4 linked regions of the Arabidopsis thaliana genome follow. The protein of the gene in region 3 binds, or shares a complex with, the protein of the main gene of each other region. Each region holds a gene or a part of one and is shown on either strand. Other genes may lie near its edges.

Region 1 (3,433 bases), on a different chromosome or scaffold from region 3:
TAAAAGTAAAAACTTAATTGCTTTTGTCTTTTATAAGGAAACGTTGATCAAGCTGATGCTTTGGCAAAAGCTGCTCTTGTTTCTTCTTGTACTAACGTTGATAAAAAAAAAAAAAAAAAAAAAAAAGATCTAAACTTTTATTTAACGCTATTTGACATTTGAATTCAACCTGGTTTATTACAATCCTATAAAATTTTAAAAATCTAAAGAGTAAAATTGTTTAAATCAATGACTAACTATGTGAACATTTACTCTTGTATGACGAGTGCATTTACATTGAAAGTTTAGAAATGAATTTAGTTTCAATGGGCTGAGTTCGATATTGGGCCTTCGAGTTATGAACATTCAGTGAATCAGGAATGGTTGTATTCAACTTGTGATTTGTAATTTTTTTCTCAAATCCTTTGTTATTGAAATTGGAATTTATATAAAATCACTCAAAAGAATCTATAATCTTCTGTTATTCATTCAAGAATTTATAAAACACATCTTAAATCCACTGTTATCTAAACTCAACAAAACAATTTCATTAAAAACATTTAACATTGATTCTGGGAGACTTAGGCAAAAAAATTTAGTTGAAAATAAGCATGAAAAAATCTCACCTGTAGGTGTTATTCTGAACGATTTGATTTAAAAAAAGATTCACAGAAAATCTCTGCGACATATTCTCATTGTCCTCCTCCCCTCGTCTTCCATGAAAAAAGCTTTCGGTCTCTGTTCTTCACCGGCAAAATCGAGAATGGATTTGGTCTGTAGAAGAATGCAAATTCCACCAAATCTTCTAAAAGATTCTGGTTTCAATACACCCCCCTAAAATTACTTAATCACAACTTGGTCTTCGTATTTATGATTCAGCTGATCCGGGAATTATGTTACACATGAGCTCTAGGAATGACTTGTGTTATCATTTATCAAGCAACTGTTTGGTAATGAAAATACAAGTCTAAAACTGATAAATGTGAGACATGGTTCCTCAAGGAGAATATGCACATTGGAAACATCAAGGCATCAAGTAATAATACATAAGAGGGAATGATGGATCAAACGGTGTTGATGGTATCAGTAAGACATCGGAGAATGCAACCGAGACCAGCTCTCTCAGTGAGTTTCTCGTGAATCTTCAGGCACTGATCGCAGGTGGGTCGGTCCCCAGTAGAAAGTCCTCTGTACAAGTACCTGAGAATTTTAAGCAAAAACATTCTATCAAAGAGCACAGACAGCCTGAGGATAGAGCTTTCCAATTCATACATATTACAAAACGCATTACAGCAAAAAAAAAAAAAACCAACTTTGCACTTACTTCATGAGAATGTCGTAATATTCGACATCAAGAGCATTGAGCATTCCGTCAATATCCTTAATGGCCATTAAAGCTCTGTGCACAACTATCCAATTAGCCGACTGCAGTTGAGTTTTTTTTGGCTCAGTAAATCAAAAAAAAAAAAAAAGATGGTTTCGGAAAGAGAGAGACCTTGCAACGTTCATCGCGAGTTTTCGGAGGCGAACCTTCAAGAGCCGTTTTCAAAGCTTCTACATGTTTGTACCTGCACACATTAAAACACCGATAAGGGATTAAACCAAAAACAAAAGAAGACTTTAGGGTTTAGCTCCAAGGTCTGATATTACTGTTTGAGTAGGCTTTCAATCTTCCTCGATTTGGTTTCGATCCTCGCGATTATTGCTTCTGCGTTATCAGCTTCAACGAATTCTGCCATTCTTCGATTCGATCTTTCTCTCCGATCAGAGATTTCCCCTCTTTCCCTTCTTTAATTGAAAAAATGAGAGAGAGAGAGGAAAACAACTCAATCGCCATTTGACCATTTCAAAAGGGAACTGAGTGCCGTTTGTCTTGGCCTTAAACGGCACGTAGTCTTAAATGCTTATGCTGCCACTGAATGATGGATGATGGAAGCTTCATTTTTTTTTTCATTTTTTGTCAATAGGATTTTCATCGATAGGATTCAAGTTGAAATACAAGAGCCGGCAAGTACAAACCACTTCCGGAGACATAAGCCGATGAGTACAAGAACACTCCCGAAGCCAAATACCAAACAAGGTAAACAAAGGGAACAAAATCCAAACAAACCAATTACACTATATTCATTGAAATTTCCTCGATCAGGTTCTAGAAATCCAAAAAAGACTTACAAATCCTAAGTCATAGAAAATTAAAACAAATCTGAGACTAAAAAAGACACACAAACGGGTTACAATACAAGAATCTCCTTTTCTTTCTTGGTATAACAATTTTTTTTTTATTATAAATCTCTCTTATAAATTTTTAATAGTAATATTTGTTGGACCGAATTTTTTATATTTATACTAATGAACTTTTCTTTACGATTTTGTTACCATTTTGGTATCATTTTTACGATTTTAATTTATTAACCTCCTTAATTAAAATCGCAACCTATTCTATTTTATTAACACAGGTCAAAATATATTTTTTTCTGCGCTCGACCCTAATATGTTAACAAAATGGTTGTTTCTGCCCAAATCTCATTATATTTGTATGGATAGACGAAGAGCATTTTGATAATACTCTTTTGGAATGTTTCTTTATCATTCTAATTAGGATCCTACATCGAAAGTATACTATAAATGGAGTAAACACACTCATGACTGCTAAGTGCTAACACTAGTATATATGGAACACAACCAATCCAATCATTACCCATTGGTTTTAAATTAGAATCTGATGAAACTTAACATTAACTTTCTCTAATCATTAATGATATTGGTAGTCTTATAACAAATATATTGCCAAGATTCGGTCTAAGACCACTTGATAGAACTATGTATAAAACTTCTTTTTTTTAACTGCCAAACCTATATAAAGTGGACGTGTAAACTAAAGCATGGTGATCACTTCACATCGCACCAATGTAGTGGATCTAAACGTCTCTTTGTGTAATCACGTGGTCGAATTAATGGTCAATCATTTAGCAATTAACCAAATTTGAAATAACATCCGAAAAAAGTCGGTTTAGTGGGAGGAGAAGTGAGAATGATGTTTCATGAATGCTCGTTAGGAACTCTTCGAAAGACGATAACCTCGGATGGATGTTTATGGTGTCGGCTTCTAGTGGTTAAACATAATTAGATCGTCTACTGAAAAGTTGGAGATGTGGTTGAGAAACTCGTACCCTACATATGGTTACTCGTCTGCTGGTTTAATCGTTGGGATTGATCGTGTACTAGTCTTTCTTAAAGGCCAAGAATTTTGTCGTCGTAGTTAATATATGTTGGCGTACGTTTTACTGTTTTTCTTGAGAAATAATTGGATCTTAAGCTTATTAAAAAAGTCGTCACGACTTGGTCCAACTCGTACATATCACAAGTTGCTCGGCGCTTTTCATGTTAGTTAGCCACCGACCTCGAACTTTGAAATTTTATATTTTTTAACTTCAAAAACAATTCTTTGATAGTT
Region 2 (3,077 bases), on a different chromosome or scaffold from region 3:
GAGAGAGAGACGTTGAAGAAGATGACTAGTGGAGGAGGATACGGAGATCCGTCGCAGAAGATTGATTATGTGTTCAAAGTGGTGTTGATCGGCGATTCCGCGGTTGGGAAATCACAGATACTGGCTCGTTATGCTAGAGACGAATTCAGTTTGGATTCTAAGGCCACCATCGGCGTTGAGTTTCAGACTCGGACGCTTGTTATCGATCACAAGAGTGTTAAGGCTCAGATCTGGGATACCGCCGGCCAAGAACGGTAATCTCCGACCTCTCCCGGAACTTTTAGCTACTTCAATTGCTTGAACTTAGATCTCGTAAGATTTTACTGTTTCTCTAGATCTGGAAGATGATAGGTCTGCTTAGGATTTCGAATTCTAGTAAAGCTTACTGATCTGTATACGAAATTGGGAGGATCTGAAGTAAAATGGTAGAATCATTGAGAATTTGGGATTGGGATTTCAAAATTATGTATAGACTAGAATTATGTATATTACTATTCCAATGTTATTAAGCTTCTATAATTTTATGATTGGTACAAATTTGGACACTTTTGTTATACATTTCCCAGTGATGCTTCATCAACTTTATACATTCACTGATCTTTAATGAGTAAGCTAACCACCACATTTCATGCTTATCATATGCTTACATTGTATATCTTTCTATATGTGTGGTATTGGTTGAAACAGATACAGAGCAGTAACAAGTGCATATTACCGAGGAGCGGTTGGGGCGATGTTGGTGTATGACATAACCAGACGCCAAACCTTTGACCATATCCCAAGATGGTTAGAAGAACTACGTGCTCATGCAGATAAGAACATTGTGATAATCCTTATTGGGAACAAGTCAGATCTTGTGGATCAACGAGCTATACCGACAGAAGATGCGAAAGAATTTGCGGAGAAAGAAGGTTTGTTCTTCTTGGAGACATCTGCATTTAACGCAACCAATGTTGAGAGCGCTTTCTCCACGGTTTTGACTGAGATCTTCAACATTGTGAACAAGAAAAGTCTGGCTGCGAGTGAAGATCAAGAGAATGGTAATCCCGGGTCGCTTGCTGGTAAGAAGATTGATATTGTTCCAGGTCCTGGTCAAGTGATACCAAACAAGAGTAACATGTGTTGTAACTCTTAGATAAACCAATTCAATTCTTGAATGTTACTTGATAACAACAATATATAGATGTTTTAAAGACTCTGATTGGGATATTTCTCCTATCTAGAGCTGTGTGATTCATTTGTTGCTTAATGAGCAGTTTTTGTGGGGTTTTGGGGTGTTGAATCCAAGTATAACAAACCGATCTTAATTTGATCTTAAAAATTGGATATTAATTTGATCAACATGTTTTTATTCTCTCTACATTTGTAAGATTATTGTTACATTTTTGTTAATTACAAATATATACCAGCAATAACAACTTTTCTATTTCTCTTGTTACGTCAATGTGAAAAAGTAAAAATTAAAAACTGAAGCATCCGATTTTAATAATTGGTATCACAGTTCTGATAAATTCTCACTCGGCCGTTTTACCACTCGATTGCTTTATTCTCTCTAATTTCAGGTAATCTTCGAATCCTGCTTGATTCTTCAATCTTGTATGATTTGATCAGAAAGTTCAGGATTACTGATCTGATATGATGTGAGAAATCTGCGTACCATCGGCAATGGATTGTTTTACGTGATTAGAATTGATTTTGTCGTGATTGTTACTTCTCTTTTTAGCTTTTTATGGGGATGACAAGTTTTGCATTGCCTCCTTTGGTTAGTAAACTCAAATCATATGTTTCTTATGCAGCAAGTTGTCGATTTGAATGAAGAAATGAAATTAATTGATTAGGTTTTAGATAATTTTGCTGGAGAGTGTAGAGAAAGAGAGAGATCCAATGGCTGGTGCAGCAGCATTTGTTGAAGCTGATAATGCAGAGGAAATAATGGCAAGGATCGAAACCAAATCGCAGAAGATTGAAAGCTTACTCAAACAGTAATAACCCTAAAGTTCCTTTTTTCTTCCAACTTTCTCAGATGACCTAGGCTATAATTGTTACTTCGTTTTATTCAGCTACAAACATGTCGAAGCTCTTAAAACGGCTCTTGATGGTTCGCCACCTAAAACTCTCGACGAACGTTGCAAGGTCCTACTGTTTCCTCTACCATGCACATAAGTAGTTTGTTCATGATCAAAAAGATTGTGTAATTTATGATAAATATCTGTGAAATTGCAGTCAGCTAATTGGATAGTTGTGCACAGAGCTATCATGGCGATAAAGGATATCGAAGGAATGTTAAATTCTCTTACTGCCGAGTATTACGACATTCTCATGAAGTAAGTCTCTTGCCTTTTGCTCTGCTAGCTTTTAATTAGCGTGATGTGGAAGCAGTGTTTTGTTTGCTTAAATGGTGTGGATCAGGTACTTGTACAGAGGTCTTTCGACTGGTGACGAACCCACATGCGAACAGTGTTTGATGATTCACGAGAAACTAACAGAGAGAGCTGGTCTCGGTTGCATTCTCCGTTGTCTGAGTGATACTACCAATACCGTTTAAACCATTAAGCTGATCTTTTCATGTTACTTTTATTCTTGTTTTCTATGAATGTTTCTCCCAAATCTCAAGTTACTTCAATAGATTATAGAAAGTGGAATAAACCGGAGAACCTAAGATCCTTTCACAAAGAGATAGTCATAAAAGAACCTACGGTTACCTGGTTTTAAATTATATCTCATAACCAGGAAACTTAGAATCTACCGGCGACACAAGATCGAACCAGAGGCATACTGGTCCAGCTAGTCCCCGGAATAGCGAATAATCATGTTCTGTTTCTTGGCTTGTCATATTCACGAGCTCTATCGCATCACGGCACAAGTAACTCGCAAACGCTTTTGCTCTCTCTTCATATACAACATCTCCGGTTAAGCGATAAAGGGATAAGAAAGCGTAGGCATTACCAGCAACTCCATCAGCTAAACCTACCTTCTTCACCAAGCCACTCTTCCACACTACTTCTCCTGCTTCAATGGCTGCTTCGCGGAAATCCCTTTCCTTGGGAAACACCTGAGATGCTTTAGCCAAAGTAATG
Region 3 (6,589 bases):
CGTCTTTAGTATTTCTTGAGGGGGATTAATAGGTTTTTAATTAGGATTTATTATTGGATTCAAATCCCCTTTTATGTCGCATATAAGTTCATATGTAACTATGTAAGAATGTTATAGAATTTAGTAACCGAAGCAGCTGGTACATAAATCCATAACTATCATTTATTGGAATAAAACTGTTACAAAGACAATAAGTCACAAAATGTTACAAATTAACGGAAGTACCCAACCATTTTGTGGTAAATTATTAAACGTGAATATTTTCTCCTATGAATGATATAGAAGTGTTAAATTGATTAATGATGAATGGTGCAGATTCAACGGCTTAGATTTTCTGGGAAGGATAATGAAAGGGAAGAAACTGATGTTCGTAGGAGATTCACTGAGTCTAAACCAATGGCAATCTCTCACGTGTTTGCTCCACAACGCCGCACCAAAAGCCAATTCCACATCCACACGTTCCCCTTCTGGCCTCTCCGTCTTCTCATTCCCCGTAACGTTTTCTAACTTTATCAAACTCGTTCCGGTATTGATCCGGTTTAATAATTCTGGTTCGGTTCGTATTTAAATGCATGCAATGCAGGCTTACAATTCTTCGATTATGTTTTCAAGAAACGCGTTTCTTGTGGATATAGTCGGAGCCCCACCGAAGCGAGTGATGAAGCTTGACTCAATCTCGAGTGGTTCGTTGTGGAAAACCGCAGACGTTTTGGTCTTCAACTCTTGGCATTGGTGGCTTCACACAGACCGAAAACAACCGTAAAATCATCTTTATGTCGTCAAACATATTTTGCTATGGACTATGGACTTATTAGTATCTAACTAATGTAATCATTTGGGGTTGCAGATGGGACGCAATTATGTCCGGGAATGTAACGGTTAAAGACATGGACCGGTTAGTGGCATATGAGAAAGCAATGATGACTTGGGCTAAGTGGATTGATCAAAATATTGATCCTTCCAAAACCAAAGTCTTCTTCCAAGGTATTTCTCCGGACCATGGCCGGTAAGTTCTACCTCTATATAACTTCTTTTTTATTCGATACATACATTAAATCAACGATAAAAACTTAACACGATTGATATATGTTGGATTAGTCTATAAGTTTTCGTTAGAACCAAATAATTTCATGTTGATATTGTTAACAATAATGGTACATAATGTTACAGGGCAAGGGAATGGTCGAAACAAGGTGGCAAAGGCAGTTGCATAGGAGAAACAAAGCCGATTATGGGATCGAGTTACCTGGCTGGGCCGCACGCAGCCGAGATGGTGGTGGCGAAAGTGATAAAGACGATGAAGAATCAGGCGCGGTTAATGGATGTGACATTGATGTCTCAGCTAAGGAAAGATGGACATCCTTCAGTATACGGTTTTGGCGGTCACAGAATGGCGGATTGTAGCCATTGGTGTCTCTCTGGAGTCCCGGATAGCTGGAACCAGCTCTTGTATTCTGAGCTGTTTCATTCTTAAAATTTTGATGGTTTTGACACAAAACTAAATTCATTATATGATTTATACATTTATTTATGACCTAACCATGTTTGTGTTGTTTTACACATTTATTTTATGTCATAAACATGTTTATTTAGAATTTCAAATTCATTTGTCAACCAAAATGTTTAAATGAGAACAAGATTCTTTGACTGGTCGAACAATTTATAAGAGAAGAATTTGCAAGAATATAACCTTATGATCTCGTTATAATTGAATGGACTAAATATGTGTCCTGAATCTCTAAGTGAGAGATTAGAGGAAGACCAAAACTAGAAGTAAACCTTATTCCACGAGAGGGGATAACTAGCGTAGCTTATATAATAACTTTGTACAATGATTTGGGGTTAAGTTATTTTTGGATTATGCTAAATCAAAATCTAATATAGTGGTGCAAGCCCCTTGACTTGGGTCAATGATTCAAAAGCTTATACAAAAAAAAAAACGAAAAAACTAATAGTAAAACATTACTTTAGAAAAAAGTTACTAATCAATATTTTTTTAAAAATTTCAGATTACTTTATAAGTTACTCTATACTCATAGACTCATAGTGAGATATAGTTCTATTTTTACATGGATGAATTGGATCGAATCCATTTATCTACATTAATGTATTTAACTAATGCAGAACTTAAGCCTTTTATCGGAAAAAACAAAAACAAAACTAATGCAGATTACAGAACTATAGATTTAAAAATAAAAATAATTCGATTTTTTCCTTATTATTATGCTGGTTTGCCCAAAAATAAAGGTCCAAGTAAAACTGAAATTGATCTGGTCATAAAAATTGGGGCTTTAGTAAAAAAAAAAAAAAAAAAAAAAACATCTGTCTCTTTCACTTCACGTTTGCGACTGTGTCGTCGTCCACCTCCGGATCTCATCGGCGTTTCATCATAATTATCTGTCCATCTATTCACCGTACGACTCCGTTTTAGGAATCTGTGGATGTCAATTTGAGAGAAAAGACTGTCTTCATTACAACACATTTGGGACAACAAGGATCACTCATGGCAGTGGTGGATGTTCATCGTTTCGCTGAGTCAATCACTTGCCATGCTTGGAGTCCTGATCTCTCCAGTATGTTTCTAACACCTCTCTGATTTTGTGATTCTCTTCTTTCTCTCTTCCGTCGTTTTTTCCGTTTTAGAATTATAAATGAGGAGGATCTATCTATAGTTAGTTTGGCTGGGAAGATAGATAGATGATACAACTAAATTGACTTGTGTTATTCTTATACATCTTGGTAATCAAATTTCTTCGAGTCAATGTTTTATATGTCTGTTTGTCGGTGTCTCTTGTTAGGAACACTTGGTATCTAGTATTGTACATTAGTAGATGCGCTTTTCTAAACAGATGAACCAAATCTATTGTTACAAATGATTTAACGTCTGTACTAAAGCCTGTAACCATTTATGTGCTTTGACATTTGTTTCGTTTTTCTTGGTAGTGGTTGCTCTCTGTCCTAACAACACTGAAGTTCATATCTATAAATCATTGTCTCAAGACCACTGGGAGAGGTTACATGTCCTCCAAAAGGTGAAACCTTTCTCTCTCCCTCTCTTTCTGTAACTTTTGAACTTGCATTCCTTTTGCTTTCTCTTCTTGGGAATTCCTTACTTTCGTATATTTATGTATTCTCATTTCACTGATCACTTGTCGCTGATAAGTGTTGTATAGACAGCTTGAATCTCCCTTACAACAACTTCATGATTATTGTTCGTCTTGTTGCAGCATGACCAAATTGTTTCTGGAATAGATTGGAGCTCAAAGTCCAACAAAATCGTCACTGTTTCTCATGACAGGAACTCGTAAGTTGCTACCTTTGATATACTTTGAGAAACTCCAAACCTGTTAATCTTAGTCCTTCACTTTTTTTCGTTCGTTGAACTGAGTTTAGAATGCTTCTTGAAGGTACGTCTGGAGCCTGGAAGGAGCTGAATGGGTACCAACTCTCGTTATTCTTAGACTAAATCGTGCTGCACTTTGTGTCCAATGGAGCCCCAAAGGTAAATGTTTAATTTTTCTGGTTCTTAAGCTTAATTTCCGTAATATGTAGTGTAATTTTCCTATAATTTCTACAGCTTCTAATCTATGTTCTCATCTTTTTGCTCAATACCCATAGAGAACAAGTTTGCTGTTGGAAGTGGTGCTAAAACTGTTTGTATTTGCTATTATGAGCAAGAGAATAACTGGTATTTTCTTCTTCTGCTCCTAATTCTCATTATTAGTCCTTGATTTTTTCTTTGGCAAGTTTCCTGACTTCTTTGCTACGAATGGTGTTGTTGGTCTATGTAATGATATTATTTTGTCTTATGTACTGGCATGATATTAGCACCAATCATATTTTTTATTATCTTGGCATGCATAACTGTGTATTGTTTAGAGATTTTAGAAAGATACTTTCATGTAAACTTTTAGTATCTGACATTGCTTGGCTTTACTGTTTTCAGGTGGGTCAGTAAGCTAATCCGGAAAAGGCACGAATCTTCAGTCACATCTGTTGCTTGGCATCCTAATAATGTACGTGCAATCAACAGAACCTCTTGTAGTTCATGTAGTTAAAATAATAAGCAGGCTCTCTGTAAAAGCATTCTCTACCAAAAATATTCTATAAGTTGGCCACCAGATTGAGTATAGAGTACATGATCCCTAAAAATAGAATATCAATCTCCACAAACTAGTTAATCTTCTAAATCATTTTTTCTCGTATGCTTTTTTATGTTGCTGTGCTCTCTGATTGTCTGTTATGCATTAGGTTCTTCTGGCAACGACATCAACAGATGGAAAATGTCGGGTATTTTCAACATTTATCAAAGGAGTTGACACAAAGTATGCTCATTACTTGAACGTCTACTTTTAAAACATTTTTTCAAACATGAGGCCGTTTCTTATTTGTCTTTCAATGGGCTGATACAGGGATTCAAAAGCAGGCTCACCAGCGGAAACGAAATTTGGGGAGGTTTGACTCGTTTGGCTGGCTTTCCTTCTTTTAGTAAATAGTATACCACTTCTGCCATATATATGTTCCCTCTACTCACTCTCTTATCTAATGTTAGGGAGCTTTTTTTCTGTTGAAACAGCAAATTCTTCAGCTTGATCTCTCATATTCTTGGGCATTTGGTGTTAAATGGTCTCCAAGTGGAAACACCTTAGCTTATGTAGGTCAGAATATCCTTAAAACTTAAGATGTTTGTCCATTGAGCTCTACTGGAATTATAAAAATGGAACTTCACCTTGGTTGCATAATTTTTACTACACTCCGTCTCACTTCCCTTGTTCATGCAATCTTGTTTATAGGTCATAGCTCCATGATTTACTTTGTTGATGATGTTGGTCCTTCTCCTTTAGCCCAAAGCGTTGCATTTCGAGATTTGCCTCTTCGTGATGTGGGTCAGCATCCACTCTTTTTTTTCTTTTGAGAAAGTGTTCTCATGTGTTATATCCTGAATTGATATATTATCGGGAACTTGCTATCTTCAGGTCCTGTTTATTTCTGAGAAAATGGTGATAGGCGTGGGATATGACAGCAACCCGATGGTATTTGCCTCAGATGATACTGGAATATGGTGTGTAACTCTTAGTTTTCTCTTTCTTAGCTATTTCCAGACAATCAAATACTTCAATTCATTAATTCTCCTTAGCTCTCAGGCCGGATAGTTATTTCTGAAATCATCCACACACCGATGATTGCCTTGTTTACAAGTTTTTGTTTATGGTCTGCAGGAGCTTTATCAGATACATCGGAGAGAAGAAAGCAGCATCTTCAAATTCCAGTTACAGTTCGCAGGTACATACCATGTTTTCTTTCTTGAATAAAATATGAGTGAACTTAGCTTATTCCTGAAGTGTTCCTCTAAGATAGTAGTAATCTTTCGGGTTAGTGTAGTTGCTCCTTTTTTCTCCTTGGGTTTACTACTTTGAACTTTCCACTTGCATTATTTGTACTGTTTTGTCTAATCCTTTTTTTCATTATGTTATCTTTTCAGTTTTCTGAAGCATTTGGAAAATTCTACGGCAGTCAATCAAAGTCCACAACAGCCAACGATGCTTCTGAATCACGTGGAGGTGTTCATGATAACTGCATAAAGTAATTATTTCTTAAGCTAACTTTTCTTTTACCAAATCATTTGCCAGAAACCTGCCTCATTAACTCTTTTACTTCGATTGTCTATTAAGAACCTGACATGGAAGGTTACCTGAAAATTGCAGTTCCATTGTGTCTCTGAGCAAAGCAGGGAGTCCTAAAGTAATGCGATTCAGCACTTCAGGTCAGTCACTAATACAAAATGGAATTAGCCGATTCAGTTCTCAAAAAACAAACCAGCAGTTTCATTTACTCGCATAACGGTTTGTTATTTATAGGATTGGATGGCAAAGTTGCCATATGGGATCTGGAGAACATGGAACAAGAACTTGGCAATCAGTTTTAATAAACACACAAATAAAACAATTCTGGCTCACAAGCAAGGTTTTACTTAAGTTTAAACTACTTTTTCAATTTCGTAATTGTTTCACTTTGTAAACTGCCACAATAAAAGGCCTTATTTTCTTGGTTTGTGTAAGGGCAGGTATTAATAAGTTTCTTGGCTTCATGATTTGATTCATTTAGTTAGCATCTTGTAATACCTTTTATATATAGTAATATCAGCTTTGTGTCGAAAGGAGTCCATATTGAACCAAACACAACAATTTCGCAAAATTTTCAAGTTCTTGAGAAGAAGCAAAAAGCTTTGGTCCTCCGAACTATGCCATATTTACCACAAAACGAGATATCGACAAACATTAATCTTCTATCAGATGACAGAAGTGTGATTCAGAAGACCAAATATTCTTTGAATGTTTCTCACTTATTGCAAAACAACTACTGTCCTCGTCCTAAGCAACTTCCAGAGTACCTAGTTTTTAAAGCATGAACTAGAGTTGTAACTCAGAAGCAGATATGCAGAGAAACACGACTTGGAACGATTGATTATATGTCTCCAAGATCCTTCCTTTTCGTCCCATAAGCAATATAGTTGACACTAATATCATCTGACAATAACCATCTTCCTGTTATTGGGTTGTACACAAATCCAGCTATCTCTTTCACCTGC
Region 4 (4,816 bases), on a different chromosome or scaffold from region 3:
GACGTTTACAGAATATGAAAAAATGATGGGCCTTCGCAATTGTACGTACTCGACAACATGCGTGGCGATGACTCACCTTATCCATATTTGATATTACTTTTTCTAGTACTCCTTGTTTTTACATCACTTTCTGGTAATATTTAATTAGAAATTTAGAACCCTAGACTTTGACACGGTAAATTTTAATAATAATAATATATAGTTGTATTAGAACAGTTAAGAAGTCTCACGAGTTCATAATCAGTTTTGCTTACTAGCTAACTGTATAAATAATTATGCTGGAATCTAACAATTCAAAATTAACTTTGCTTGAGAGTTTTATACCAAACACAAAAGTACAATTTAGTCTAGACTCTAGAAAAGATAAATTCTTATTGCGAAAAATAAAAATTGCAATATATATACAATAGAAGTTTTGGGAGGGATGGTTTGGAAGTTTTAACTATCTCCATGACTCGACATATAAAAATGTAAATATCATTGTTCAGCTAAATGAGCTACCATCGATTAGTTAAAAATAACATTCTTTTACGTCAACCAATCTATGGTTTAGGGGTTAAAATTTTCACTCTCAATATAAGAGGAAAGGTTTAAGTTTTTATCAAAGTTTTCCGGTTATAGAAATAACGTACGTACGACTGTTTTCTTTTTCTGCTTTTTTCAGATTTTCTAAAATCAGTACTTGGTCTTATATATAGATCGATATGCAAATATGCAATGGCGAAGATACGTCCCTAGCGGCTCCTCTTTTGCCAAGACCATGTCACGATCTATCTTACAAACGTTACTCATTTTACTATATCTACTTTTTTCTCCCTAATATAAATATAACTTCGCATATTTATTCATGAATATTTATGCTAAGAAAAGCCATCACATGCATTTATAGTATGTAAGCTTATGTCGATGCAGTAGGACCATATCCGTATATATGTGTGTGCGTATAGATACGTGAGATAGTTTTGCTTTTGAGGCTCCTTCATCTCTCACATCCGTCTGCCCACGATCAATTTCAAAATAGACAATTTTAAAGCTAAAAAATAATAATTTCTTTTTATATGTAGATGTAGCTTTCATATCTAACCTAAAAATATTTGTCGTCAAAGTAAAAAAACTTAATAAGAATATTATTTAAAGAGCTTTAAACTAATATTAACTATAAATCGTTCGTATACTATTGTTCGTTAAATTACATTTAGAGACTATACTAGTCTACTTTAATATCAATAAAAATAAAAACTTCACATGCATATGTTATTTGTCTTTATCCCACTCTGGCCAATTTAAATTTGAAAATATACGTAGACTTATAGATCAAATATCTTATCTTTTCATTGTTGAAAAAACTAATGTAACATTCTAATTAGTTAAATATCTCCACTTACAAAAAGAAAAGAGCCATATCTTATCCAAATTAATCTCTCAATTTTAAAAGCACACATTAAACGGTCAAATTCCAACTTTTGTTAGATTAAAATATTATGAAGACGTCAGATAATACGAAAACATTGCTCCACTAATTTTTGTCGTTTATTTCCATTCAAATAATCATATATCTGGAATCTAAAATATAAAATATCATTTAATTTACGTGCTTATTTTTTTTTTAAAAACCTTCGTCAGATTACAATCAACATAGCCAGGTATAATCAAAAGCCAGAGAAAAAATAATAATACAAATGTTAAAATCTGAAGGAAAAAAAAAAATCTAGAAAACACTACTAGTTTGCCACTGTCAAAACAAACATACAGATATTTGCAACATTAAATATTTTTGAAACGTTTAAGCTCAAATTGTATATTTATGAAATGGGCTCAGCTTATACTACATAGTATTTACATAATTGGGCCTATGGGCCATTTAAATTCATAAAAAATATAAAGTACAGAAATAACGAAACGGCGTCGTTACACTTAGCTGAGTAGCTGAGTAATAAAATTGAACAAATTAGTAAAATTCCAAAAAGTTATCGAAGAAACGTTCAAGCTGTGACAGAGAATCTCGGTCGTCTTCGTTTGTCTCCGACGAGCTCTCTTTCTTCTCCGATTAGATCCCGTGAGAAGAACTCAAAGGCTCTAGGGTTTCTCTGTGATTCAGTTAACTCCTTTAGATATCGTAAGAAAGTAATCGATGATACTATTGCAGTCACATTCAAGGTTTCTTCTTCAAACGCTATTGACGCGAGCTCAAAAGTAAGTGCTTTTCAATTCTTAATTAGGTACACTCTTAGTTTTACCTAATCTACAATAAGACCCATTTTTTATTTTGGTCGATTTGATTTTGATTTTGTGAAGAAATCTGAAACATTTTGGAAGAACTGGGTTTTGTAGAATGGAACCAAAGTTCAATACTTTGCTTGATTTTGTTTATGTTTTGGTTCAGTCTTGATAAAGCAGTGGAGCTAGATTATCAATGGATTGAATTTGATGATGTTCGTTACCATGTTCAGGTGTGAATTTTATACCAACATTTGAGTATTTGACCTCTGAGATCCATATGATCTTGTTCAATGTTCTGAGACTATATGAATTTTGTTTGATAGGTGACAATGAAGAATCCAAATCTGTTGTTGCTTTCGGTTTCGTTACCAAATCCACCACCTGAAGCAATGTCCTTTGATGGACTTCCTTTAGGAGCTATAGAAGCTATTAAAACCACTTACGGGACAGGTTTTCAAATACTTGATCCTCCTAGAGATGGTTTTAGTTTAACCCTCAAGCTCAATTTCTCTAAAGTTCGTCCTGATGAAGGTTTTTAAACGAGTCTCTTTCTCTAATTGATAAGATGTTGTTTTGATTTAGATGTTGGTTTTGTTCTCTAATAGAAAGTATCTATGTTTTGGCAGAGTTATTAACGAAGCTAGCTTCCATTAGAGAAGTGGTGATGGGTGCACCGTTAAAAATCATTTTCAAGCATTTAGCTTCAAGGACGGTTGCTCCTGAGCTGGATAGGCTTGTAGCAATTATGCATAGACCTAACGAGACGTTTTTCCTCGTGCCTCAGGTATATATATACTCTATAGGTCTTTCGTATGTAGCCATTGAAGTAGGTTCTTATGATTAGTAAGAATCTAGAGAGTGATAGAGAACTTAACTGTGTATCACAGGCGGATAAAGTCACTGTGGCATTTCCTATGAGATTTAAAGACTCCGTAGACACGATTCTGGCGACTTCTTTCCTTAAGGTGACAAAATGATCAAAGCTAAATTTTCAAACAGGTTTTGATTTCTGTAGTACTGAAACTTTGGATATAATGATATAGGAATTTGTAGAGGCGAGGCGTGCTGCTGCGCTTAATACTGCTCCTTCTTGTTCTTGGTCTCCAACCGCACCGCAGGAATTAGAGGGAGCTCCTAAAGAAACACTATCCGCTAATGCCGGTTTTGTAACTTTTGGTATGATCTTTCTAAAATATATTCTGTTCGAACTCAATTTGCATTGGTAGTACCAATCTGAAAGAAACTAACTTTGAGATTATCGATATATCGCAGTCATTTTTCCTCGGCATGTGGAAGGGAAAAAGCTCGATCGTACTGTCTGGAATTTATCGACCTTTCATGCTTATGTTAGTTATCACGTCAAGGTTCATATTCTTTATCGAACTTTCATGTTTTCTACTTTCATATTCTCTAAATACCAGAACTTAGTCTCTCTATCTTAGTATGGATTTGTAAAACTGAGTTTTTGTTCGTTTGTTGTTATATCACAGTTCTCAGAGGGATTTATGCACACCAGGATGCGGCGTCGCGTGGAATCTATGATTCAGGTAAAACACCAAACTCATTACATTCGACTTGGATATGCGTTCTTTAGTTAACAAAATCTTGTTGTCTCAGGCTCTGGATCAAGCTAAGCCATTGGAGAAAACAAGATCGATGAACAACAAGTCATTTAAACGGCTAGTAAGTTGCGAAACAATTTGTTTTTCGACAGACTTTTTCTTTGTTTGTTTGCATTGTTTTTGAGCTTTGTTTCCTCTTCCTCACAGGGACTCAACGAGGTCAATCACACCAACTCGAAGTAGTTGGATTTCTCACGAAGCAATTTTGTAAAAACTTGTGATTAGCTGAGACATGTATTTTTTTTACTGGATTAAGTCTCTGTGATATTTATTTTAGTACAATTCTTTCAGATATTTCTATACATCTGATCTTGCTAAATATTTGAACAAATGTATAATGTGAAAATTGTAAGAAACTCACCTTGATATGGACTGTGTCTGGTCTTGATCTAAACATGGTGTTTTCAACAGAAAATAAAGTTTTTGTTTTGTTTTATAATTGTTTTTACAAAAATGAAGAAGATGAATCTTTATTGTTCTTCAGATTCTCAGATAGTCAAATTAAATGAAGTAATATTCGTACCAACAAATAGTCGTAAAAGTTGATTTTCATATAAAAACAAACGTTCAATTTATCCTTATACACAGATGTATCAAAGATTTGTAGTGATCTAGTAAGGTATAAGAAGAAGATTCAAAGGTCGCACGAGTAAATTAACGATTCCTTCGTAGTATACTTTTGAGGCCCATAAATTATGACTGGGCATATATTGTTAGGTTTCATTGTATCAAAAAATGAAATAAAAAGCAATTAACTGGCTTCGCCCGGGTTCGAACCGGAGACCTTCAGTGTGTTAGACTGACGTGATAACCAACTACACCACGAAACCTTTTTGTCTTCTTGATGTTGGTTTAACATATTCTATCTTCCTTACTGATCACCTTCACATTTTCGCAAACCATTGTATAATCTCTCATTAGCTCTAAGGACTAGAATATTGTTTCGAGAATGGATAAAGAAGCTGGAATAGTAT

The links.
Region 1: ARPC1A (region 3) and CRK share a complex: the UniProt entries of both Arabidopsis thaliana proteins name them as parts of the arp2/3 complex.
Region 2: ARPC1A (region 3) and AT5G65274 share a complex: the UniProt entries of both Arabidopsis thaliana proteins name them as parts of the arp2/3 complex.
Region 4: ARPC1A (region 3) and DIS2 share a complex: the UniProt entries of both Arabidopsis thaliana proteins name them as parts of the arp2/3 complex.

What each region holds. Positions count from the first base shown.
Region 1 is NC_003075.7:734,061-737,493, reverse strand, and holds CRK (ARP2/3 complex 16 kDa subunit (p16-Arc)), read right to left. Parts: upstream 1,842-3,433; 5' UTR 1,719-1,841; coding exon 1,630-1,718; intron 1,548-1,629; coding exon 1,475-1,547; intron 1,405-1,474; coding exon 1,304-1,404; intron 1,180-1,303; coding exon 1,044-1,179; 3' UTR 529-1,043; downstream 1-528. Other genes in the region: AT4G01703 (uncharacterized protein), read left to right, coding at 3,129-3,242. UniProt on the Arabidopsis thaliana protein: Functions as a component of the Arp2/3 complex which is involved in regulation of actin polymerization and together with an activating nucleation-promoting factor (NPF) mediates the formation of branched actin networks.
Region 2 is NC_003076.8:26,083,416-26,086,492, forward strand, and holds AT5G65274 (ARP2/3 complex 16 kDa subunit (p16-Arc)), read left to right. Parts: upstream 1-1,884; coding exon 1,885-1,982; intron 1,983-2,060; coding exon 2,061-2,133; intron 2,134-2,177; exon of another isoform or gene 2,178-2,223; coding exon 2,224-2,324; exon of another isoform or gene 2,325-2,409; coding exon 2,410-2,545; downstream 2,546-3,077. Other genes in the region: RABA4a (RAB GTPase homolog A4A), read left to right, coding at 22-254, 688-1,135; GCL1 (GCR2-like 1), read right to left, coding at 2,714-3,077. UniProt on the Arabidopsis thaliana protein: Functions as a component of the Arp2/3 complex which is involved in regulation of actin polymerization and together with an activating nucleation-promoting factor (NPF) mediates the formation of branched actin networks.
Region 3 is NC_003071.7:13,150,944-13,157,532, forward strand, and holds ARPC1A (actin-related protein C1A), read left to right. Parts: upstream 1-1,845; 5' UTR 1,846-1,954; intron 1,955-2,229; exon of another isoform or gene 2,230-2,295; 5' UTR 2,296-2,503; coding exon 2,504-2,573; intron 2,574-2,943; coding exon 2,944-3,032; intron 3,033-3,227; coding exon 3,228-3,304; intron 3,305-3,407; coding exon 3,408-3,502; intron 3,503-3,618; coding exon 3,619-3,688; intron 3,689-3,946; coding exon 3,947-4,016; intron 4,017-4,251; coding exon 4,252-4,325; coding exon of another isoform or gene 4,326-4,344; intron 4,345-4,412; coding exon 4,413-4,455; intron 4,456-4,552; coding exon of another isoform or gene 4,553-4,576; coding exon 4,577-4,658; intron 4,659-4,793; coding exon 4,794-4,882; intron 4,883-4,976; coding exon 4,977-5,062; intron 5,063-5,219; coding exon 5,220-5,283; intron 5,284-5,482; coding exon 5,483-5,583; intron 5,584-5,705; coding exon 5,706-5,764; intron 5,765-5,858; coding exon 5,859-5,926; 3' UTR 5,927-6,089; downstream 6,090-6,589. Other genes in the region: TBL43 (TRICHOME BIREFRINGENCE-LIKE 43), read left to right, coding at 316-493, 584-759, 848-1,006, 1,171-1,474; COQ3 (coenzyme Q 3), read right to left, coding at 6,466-6,585. UniProt on the Arabidopsis thaliana protein: Functions as a component of the Arp2/3 complex which is involved in regulation of actin polymerization and together with an activating nucleation-promoting factor (NPF) mediates the formation of branched actin networks.
Region 4 is NC_003070.9:10,958,975-10,963,790, forward strand, and holds DIS2 (Arp2/3 complex, 34 kD subunit p34-Arc), read left to right. Parts: upstream 1-1,933; 5' UTR 1,934-2,131; coding exon 2,132-2,193; intron 2,194-2,383; coding exon 2,384-2,450; intron 2,451-2,543; coding exon 2,544-2,751; intron 2,752-2,846; coding exon 2,847-3,004; intron 3,005-3,107; coding exon 3,108-3,185; intron 3,186-3,263; coding exon 3,264-3,396; intron 3,397-3,492; coding exon 3,493-3,584; intron 3,585-3,710; coding exon 3,711-3,767; intron 3,768-3,837; coding exon 3,838-3,903; intron 3,904-3,989; coding exon 3,990-4,025; 3' UTR 4,026-4,257; downstream 4,258-4,816. UniProt on the Arabidopsis thaliana protein: Functions as actin-binding component of the Arp2/3 complex which is involved in regulation of actin polymerization and together with an activating nucleation-promoting factor (NPF) mediates the formation of branched actin networks.